Linked DNA regions of Drosophila melanogaster. The protein of the gene in region 1 interacts with the protein of each later gene in a pairwise test. Each region holds a gene or a part of one and is shown in the gene's direction. Other genes may lie near its edges. The genes, in order: sicily and ND-42.

Evidence for each region.
Region 2: the proteins of sicily (region 1) and ND-42 interact in a two-hybrid assay, tested with the Drosophila melanogaster proteins (one study listed by BioGRID).

Annotation. Positions count from the first base shown.
Region 1 is NC_004354.4:11,889,562-11,894,245, forward strand, and holds sicily (severe impairment of CI with lengthened youth), read left to right. Parts: upstream 1-2,170; 5' UTR 2,171-2,476; coding exon 2,477-2,658; intron 2,659-2,727; coding exon 2,728-2,842; intron 2,843-3,168; coding exon 3,169-3,794; intron 3,795-4,028; coding exon 4,029-4,110; 3' UTR 4,111-4,184; downstream 4,185-4,684. UniProt on the Drosophila melanogaster protein: Involved in the assembly of mitochondrial NADH:ubiquinone oxidoreductase complex (Complex I) at early stages. Interacts with cytosolic Hsp90 to chaperone the Complex I subunit ND-42 in the cytoplasm.
Region 2 is NT_033777.3:22,025,742-22,029,910, forward strand, and holds ND-42 (NADH dehydrogenase (ubiquinone) 42 kDa subunit), read left to right. Parts: upstream 1-1,967; 5' UTR 1,968-2,279; coding exon 2,280-3,407; intron 3,408-3,474; coding exon 3,475-3,570; 3' UTR 3,571-3,652; downstream 3,653-4,169. Other genes in the region: Cchl (cytochrome c heme lyase), read right to left, coding at 394-649, 707-1,296; CG13409 (uncharacterized protein), read right to left, coding at 3,965-4,169. UniProt on the Drosophila melanogaster protein: Accessory subunit of the mitochondrial membrane respiratory chain NADH dehydrogenase (Complex I), that is believed not to be involved in catalysis. Complex I functions in the transfer of electrons from NADH to the respiratory chain.

The DNA of each region.
Region 1 (4,684 bases):
CTAAAAATGGTCACAGAGCAAAAAGAATTACCATTTTATACTCCTTATGACCAATACTAACAACCCCTATCACTTTAAAACGGATTTTGTAAAATTAATTTTTGGCCAAATTTTCACATTTTTTGTAAGGGGTAACATCATCAAAATTTGCAAAAAAATGAAAAATCCTAGAATTCCCAAACTTGAATGCAAATCGATTGGGATTTAAAAAACAAACTCAACGAGGTATGACATTCCATATTTGAGTCATTATTTTCAATGTTTTGATCAAAATACCGAATATTTTTTTCACAAAAAATCTGGGAACTACTTTTGGCAAAAAACTCAATTTTCAAGTTGGCTCTTTTGGCTATAACTTGTCTAAAAATGGTCACAGAGCAAAAATAATTACCATTTTATACTCCTTATGACCAATACTAACAACCCCTATCACTTTAAAACGGATTTTGTAAAATTAATTTTTGGACAAATTTTCGCATTTTTTGTAAGGGGTACCATCATCAAAATTTGCAAAAAAATGAAAAATTCTAGAATTCCCAAACTTGAATGCAAATCGATTGGGATTTAAAAAACAAACTCAACGAGGTATGACTTTCCATATTTGAGTCATTATTTTCAATGTTTTGATCAAAATACCGAATATTTTTTTCACAAAAAATCTGGAAACTACTTTTGGCAAAAAACTCAATTTTCAAGTTGGCTTTTTTGGCTATAACTTGTCTAAAAATGGTCACAGAGCAAAAAGAATTACCATTTTATACTCCTTATGACCAATACTAACAACCCCTATCACTTTAAAACGGATTTTGTAAAATTAATTTTTGGCCAAATTTTCACATTTTTTGTAAGGGGTAACATCATCAAAATTTGCAAAAAAATGAAAAATCCTAGAATTCCCAAACTTGAATGCAAATCGATTGGGATTTAAAAAACAAACTCAACGAGGTATGACATTCCATATTTGAGTCATTATTTTCAATGTTTTGATCAAAATACCGAATATTTTTTTCACAAAAAATCTGGGAACTACTTTTGGCAAAAAACTCAATTTTCAAGTTGGCTCTTTTGGCTATAACTTGTCTAAAAATGGTCACAGAGCAAAAATAATTACCATTTTATACTCCTTATGACCAATACTAACAACCCCTATCACTTTAAAACGGATTTTGTAAAATTAATTTTTGGACAAATTTTCGCATTTTTTGTAAGGGGTACCATCATCAAAATTTGCAAAAAAATGAAAAATTCTAGAATTCCCAAACTTGAATGCAAATCGATTGGGATTTAAAAAACAAACTCAACGAGGTATGACATTCCATATTTGAGTCATTATTTTCAATGTTTTGATCAAAATACCGAATATTTTTTTCACAAAAAATCTGGAAACTACTTTTGGCAAAAAACTCAATTTTCAAGTTGGCTTTTTTGGCTATAACTTGTCTAAAAATGGTCACAGAGCAAAAAGAATTACCATTTTATACTCCTTATGACCAATACTAACAACCCCTATCACTTTAAAACGGATTTTGTAAAATTAATTTTTGGCCAAATTTTCACATTTTTTGTAAGGGGTACCATCATCAAAATTTGCAAAAAAATGAAAAATCCTAGAATTCCCAAACTTGAATGCAAATCGATTGGGATTTAAAAAACAAACTCAACGAGGTATGACATTCCATATTTGAGTCATTATTTTTAATGTTTTGATCAAAATACCGATTATTTTCTTCACAGAAAACTGGGAAACTATTTTTGGCAAAAAACTCAATGTTTAAGTTCGCTTTTGTGGCTATAACTTGACTAAAAATGGACTCACAGCAAAAAGAATTACCATTTTATACTCCTTATGATCAACACTAACCATCCCTTTAACTTTTTAATTGATTTTGTAAAATTAATTTTTGGACAAATTTTCGCATTTTTTGTAAGGGGTACGTACCATCATCAAAATTTGCAAAAAAATGAAAAATTCTAGAATTCCCAAACTTGAATGCAAATCGATTGGGATTTAAAAAACAAACTCAACGAGGTATGACATTCCATATTTGAGTCATTATTTTCAATGTTTTGATCAAAATACCGAATATTTTTTTCACAAAAAATCTGGAAACTACTTTTGGCAAAAAACTCAATTTTCAAGTTGGCTTTTTTGGCTATAACTTGTCTAAAAATGGCCTCACAGCAAAAAGAAAAGAAGTCAAGAAGATTACGCATGGCAAAAAAGCAATATTTACGGAAGATAATGTATTTATATACCTAAGCTAAGCTTTATATGGTAAACTACCTAAGCTAAGCTATAATAATGCATTATAAATTTACCAACAAGTCACATACAGCATTTTGAATCTTCCGCCAAATGAAATTTCCGCGTAATCGCGAATACCCCATATGTAGTAACTTTCTGACAGACCGAGTGCGATCTGGCAGCACCGCTCAGAACATATGTTCAGTTGTCTGGTGGAAAGAAGAAGCACAGATGCGGCGCCTGGTGCGAAATTGGAATTGCCGATTGTTATTTAACGCCAAATCCGGCCAAGAAATTGTCAGCCATGCCGGAATTCACCAGGAGGCCAAGACCAATGCGATTCCCAGGGAAAAGAAAGTGATTGAGGCGGACAAGAATGGATACGGGGCCAAACATTGCATGAGTCTAGTGGAGTAAGTAGCGCAAACTTGTCGATTGAAGTTATCCGTATAATTGAACATGGATCTATTCCGGATAACCAGGAAATACGACTACGAGAACTACCTGTGCACCTTGCTCCTACCACGGGAACTGCGACGTGCTGCCTTCGCCCTACGGGCATTCAATGTGGAGGTCTCCAGATCGGTTAGCGGCCATGTGAGTGGAGCATCGAAATTCCTTGGGGCTTATTTTTTAAGTTAGAATAACGTGGCGCCTTAAATTCAGACTCCGTTCAGACTCTGTTACTCCGCATCAATATTATTGTAAGCATAAGTGGCTTATGTCCGCATCTCATGAATATTATTACCATTTCGAACGGTTTCACAAATCTCTTAATTTCTTATGTACACTGCAAGAGTATAATTTCTCTCCTTCCTTTAAAACGGATAGAGAAATTCGTAGAATAAGCAACACTTCGTAGTTTTTAAACTTCTTATTTCTGTCCAGTAAAATCGTTTATATAATGACAAATATCCTTGCAGCAAATTGAGCCGCAAATAGCCAAAATGCGCCTTAAGTTCTGGCACGACTCCATAGACAAGTGCTTTGAGCCGGATTCCCAAAGATCGTACGTGGAGGACCAGCCTGTCCTGCGCGAACTGAAGCACACGGTGGGCAGTCGCAAGCTAAATAAGGTATATTTGCGCCGTCTGGTCACAGCACGGGAACGTCCGCCCACGCATGCATTTGAGTCGATACGCGAGCTGGAGGAGTACACGGAACAGACCTTCTCTTCGCTATTGCTCCTGCTGTTGGAGGTGGGCGGAGTGCGTGACCTAAATGCTGATCATGCCGCCTCCCACTTGGGCAAGGCCCAAGGCATCGCCACCCTGCTGCGATCGATACCGCTGGCAGGACGTCAGCAGGCGCCCTGCATTCCGCTCGAGGTGCTGGTGCTGCATGGCGTCAGCCAGGAGCGCATCATTCGCTCTAAGAGCGACGACAAGGGTGTCGAGGACTGTATATTCGATGTGGCCAGTGCCGCCAATACGCACCTAAAGCTCGCCAGGCAGCTGCACGATAAGGTGCCGCCGCAGGTGCGCAAGATCTTCCTCTCCGCCGTGGCCACGGATGCATATTTGGAGCGCCTCCGCCGTGCCAACTTCCTGTGAGTTCCTTTGTTTTATATTGCTTTGTTTTATATTACGACAAACACAGGAGAGAACCAGCTTCTTTTTGTAGTTAAGATGTTATTTTTATCCAGTTATAAGTACGATTTGCCTTTATTGAGACTTCTTTATTTCAAAACCTAGCTATAGTTTGTTGGTTGTTCAGTATTCATGGAGCGGACCCTTCTTTTTATCAATCCCCATAATAATATAATAATTTTCCCATCTTATAGGCTAACCCACAAGAGCTGCGTAGGCCGCGACACCTTACTGCCAGCACGTTTATTCTGGAAGTCGCTGCTTAATCGGTTCTGATAGCGATTATGTTAGTATGTAGTACGAAATAAATTCTTCATTGTTGACTTCTTTAATAAAAATCACTTTAAAATAAGAGCTCTTACTTTTTCTCGAATCAATAGAAGAGGATTTCCAATGTTTATAAGAATACGAATATGAATCGGATCGGGGATCTTTTGGATGAAATGGGTTAAGAACGGTTGCAGGAATATCGCTATCTCGCTTCGAATCGGGACGTAATTACTATCGATGACAGGTGCACCAAAGGTTCGTCCCGACGAAGGTATCGGTGGATACGATGCAAGACCCGATTGGTACAGTAGTTGCTAGCTGATTTCAGAGCGTTTCAGGCGCAGTTTTAGTTTTTTATGAATGTTAGAATTGATGTGGAAAGTGTGTGTTGGATATTAATGAGAACGGAGCAGTGCGACGATCGCTCAACAAGATAAGCACCGTTTGTTTTTGGGCCCGTTTCCGGCTTCCGGTTGCTAGTTCCGGAAAAATTGCAACGCCTACTTTACGCGTACTTTTGGCATGGTGAGTTTTTGGCGCGCTTTCTTCGCACTCCTGGATTGAACTTTGTAAACCCAGA
Region 2 (4,169 bases), on another chromosome or scaffold:
CAATCATTTTAAAGAGCATATAAATAAAATATAAAACTAAAGATTAAGAAAAAAAATTTTTACAGGCATTTTGAACAGATGAGAATTCTGCATATACATAAGTATATCAATAAAAAAAAACTTTAATTAATATATTCCTCCACAATGCTATCAACTCGTTACTGGATAATTCGAAATCCTTAAAAGGATTTAAGTAAAGAATAAAATAAAAAGCAAAACCACATTCGAATTTTGGTGTTCAGAAGTCAAGATTCAACATTTATTTAAAGAGAGGGCTCAACATCGTTTCGCTTCGCAGCGTCTTAAACGCATTTAACCAAACTCCCTCTTCCATCCATTCGATAACTTAAGCCGATTTTGTACCTATAGCGATCATCTAAATATGCATTCCATCTAGTCGCTACCAGCGGTCACTTTGCCGCCATCCGCGCTGCCAAACTTCTCAAACAGCTCGTACTTCCAGCGCATGTAAGCTACGCGCATTCTGTCCCAAACGTTGTCCACGGAGTCCATGGCTGGGCGCACATCCAGCAGGGCAAAGCGGTAGTCTTTGTCCACCAGTCCACCGTCGTAGTAGTCGATGACGTAGCGCACATCCTTGCCGCAGCGATCGACTATCCAGTCATGCCTATCGAATGGCAGCTCGTATCTGTAAGACAATTCGAACATTAATTCAGGTGAGATCTTCCGTCTGGAGTATACTCACCCCAGCCAGCTGCGGAATCGAGCGCGCGGACTGAAGTCCTTGGCCTTGCCACCGAAACTCTTGAGGCGCGGATTGCCGCATTCCTTGGCGTGAAGCGCCTCCCACTTAAGTACCTCCTGCCAGGCCTGCTCGTTGTTGGCATTGTGGATGCGTATGATGTCGCCCATGTCCTTTTGCGATACGTCCTCGGTCTTCCAGCGCCAGCCCTTGCGTAGCATGGCGTTCCAGAACATCTGTTGGCTGGGATACTGCCAGAATTGAACGCTGCCATCCTCGGTGACTTTGGGAATGGTCGACGTCTGGCGGTCGGTGGGCAGTGGAAAGGGCTGATCTGCCGCCGGCTGTTGGTTTGCCGGTGGCATCATATTCAGCGGATTAACGTCGCTGTTGTCGTGCTGCACCGGACATTCGGAAGCGGCCTGCATCTTGGGATGTGGGGGTACGGCGGAGGCCGATTTTGCATCTCCATGCTTCTGATGCATGGGGCATTCTGGTGGCGGGGCACCACTGCCGCTCATGTACTTGGCGTGGTCCACCGGCACACTCTTCGTGGCCTCCATTTGCACTCGGGTGATGGCTGTATTGCCCATTTCTGCTGGGGATTGGTTAATAACAAAATCTGTGTCACGAGGAAAATCGCATTAGTTCTCAGTTGCGTAACTGTAAGGAGTGGGTTACACTCCCAGTGCTGGGCCCCAACGCCAGGACTTACTCGATCCTAATGGTCACAACTCTCGATATTTGTCGATCTTCTCCTGGAGCCTTTCGCCTTAAATTTTGATTTATATTTTCGTTAGTTCATCGTTAGAACTTTTGAGCCCAAAATGCAGCGAGGTTGTGGTCAGGGCTGCCAGACCAACGGAAAGTGGACCAGTTGTTTCTGCACCGTGACAATATGTTAAGTTAAAAATTTAAAAAATCAACTCGCACCGCACGGCAATGTGAGTTTATGGTGTGTGTCTGTCTACAAATGAAAAGCATTGTTGAATTTATTTCAAGTAAATTAACTTGTAGTTAAACACCCCAGCTGTGCTGTGTAGTGTTGAGCAGTCGCTTTGCGATATTTTTAAAAAGTAAAACAAATACATTTATACATTAAAATGTTATTTTGTAAGTGTTATATAAAGTTTTTAAAATACTGGGTTAAATTTCATTTCATATGAAATTCTTTCTGATTCTGAGAAAAGTCGCAGTTAAAGCATAGACAAACATTTTGATTTTACATTTTTGATATTTGAACGGATACCTTGACAGCCCTATTCGGGGAGTTTTCCAACACCAACCATAGCCCGAAATTTGTTTTTGGGTAGACTTCCGATATTTAGATTGAAAAGTGAGTAAATACCACCGGATAGAGCATTAAAACCGACAATTTGGGTAAATCTATGGAGCGCCGCAATGCTGGCCAGCAGAATGCAACGAAAAGATCCGCATATCTGCAGTTCTAGGGCAGAGATTACCGCACTACCTGCGTAGCTCCTGTGATGTAACCACACGACAAATTGCCACTGGACGAGATATAATTGTTATTATCTTGTTTCGTTTTTGTACTGACCCTTGTTTTCCCTTCAGAATGACCGCCGTGTTCCGCGTAGGACTGGTGCGGCTCGTCAGCCGCGCCACACAGTCGCCCAATCTACTCCAGGCGCAGACGAATGCCCTGCCTGCTGCCTTCCAGCAGCGATGCAGCATCTCCGGCAAGACGATGCGAGGTGGACCACGGGTGCCCAAGGCCGCCCCCTATCCGTACAAGACGAAGAAGTACAGCGTGTTCAATGCTATTTTCGACAAGACCTCCAAGCGTTTTGACGAGAACTCCAAGGTGATCTGTGTGGAGGGACCCATCGCGGCCGGCAAGTCAAAGTTCGCCAAGGAACTGGCTGAGGAGCTGGACATGGAGTACTATCCGGCAGTTGATCTGGACCTAATCTACATCAATTCGTACGGCTATGACATGAGGAAGTTGGATCCTCAGTTGCCGCCCAGCTGCCGAAGCTACGATGTGCGCAACTTCTGCCTGGATCCCAGCCACGATCTGGCTGCCCAGTTCCAGATTCGCATGTACATGCTGCGCTATTCGCAGTACATTGATGCCCTGCAGCACGTCCTTAGCACCGGCCAGGGTGTTGTCCTCGAGCGCAGCCCCTACTCGGACTTTGTCTTCATGGAGGCCATGTTTCGGCAGGGTTATCTGTCACGCGGTGCGCGTTCCGTGTATAATGAGCTCCGACAGAACACCATCGGGGAGCTGCTGAAGCCGCATTTGGTTATCTACTTGGATCTGCCGGTCGATGCCGTGAAGAAGCAGATCAAGGCACGCAATGTGGACTACGAGGTGCAGTCAAAGGTGTTCAGCGATGCCTACTTGAGCGATTTGGAGCAGCTGTACAAGCAGCAGTACCTCAAGGACATCTCCACCCATGCCGAGCTGCTCATCTACGACTGGACAGCCGGCGGTGAGACTGAGGTTGTGGTGGAGGATATCGAACGCATCGACTTCAACCAGTTTGAGGCCGATATTCACAACAAGAAGATGCTCGACTGGCGTTTCCCGCTGGAGGCCGAGTGGTGCGAAGCCCGTATCAAGTACTGCCATGAGAAGCCCGATCTGATGAATTACTTCAATGTGCCGCGTTTCGATGTCCCGGAGCTGGTGCGCAGCGCTGACGACGGCAAAGTCTGGCGTGATGTCTGGTTCAATGTAAGTTCGGTGTTTCCATTTCCCTGTTCGATTTCTTTTCACATTAATTCTGCCCCTTTGCACACAGGCTCCCGGCATGAAGTACCGTCCTGGCTACAATGCAGACATGGGCGACGAGGGTCTCCTCACCAAGACGAAAATAGGCATCAACCAGGGCATCTAGAGGGTTTTTGCTATGCTTTCGAGTTGAAATCACCTGGCGAAATGTGTTAATTATCTAATAAACAGTCTAGTAAAATAATCAGAACCCAATTAGTTAAAAAGCGAATATGGTAAATATCGATTGTAAATACTTTTCATACAACAAAACTCGAACTATTGGGTTTATTTATACTTTTTTTTTAACATAAATTTCGAATTCAGCTTAATCATGAATACCCAAACATATTTCGATCCTCTCCAGTTTCATTGATCAACCAGAGATTAATTTTTTGAAATTTTAAGTTAATTTATGCATTATATTAGGGAATACTTTGTACACATTTAGCACTAAAACTTCAATTGCGCTATGGAACATTTGGGTATTCGTTCTGCCGCGGATACTTCTTAATCGCCGATCAATCGCTGTCGTAATCGTTCTTTCCAGCACCGCCGCCCACAGAGGTGAGCGGTCGCCGTGACTCCTCGTCGGAACCGTAGACAACATCCTCGTCGGAATCGTCGATCATGGAAATAGCCGGATTATCCTTGGTGACAGCCAGCTCCGCCTGGGCGAACCGTCCATCTGGCGAGTACACATACGCCATGGTGTACAGGTAAAAG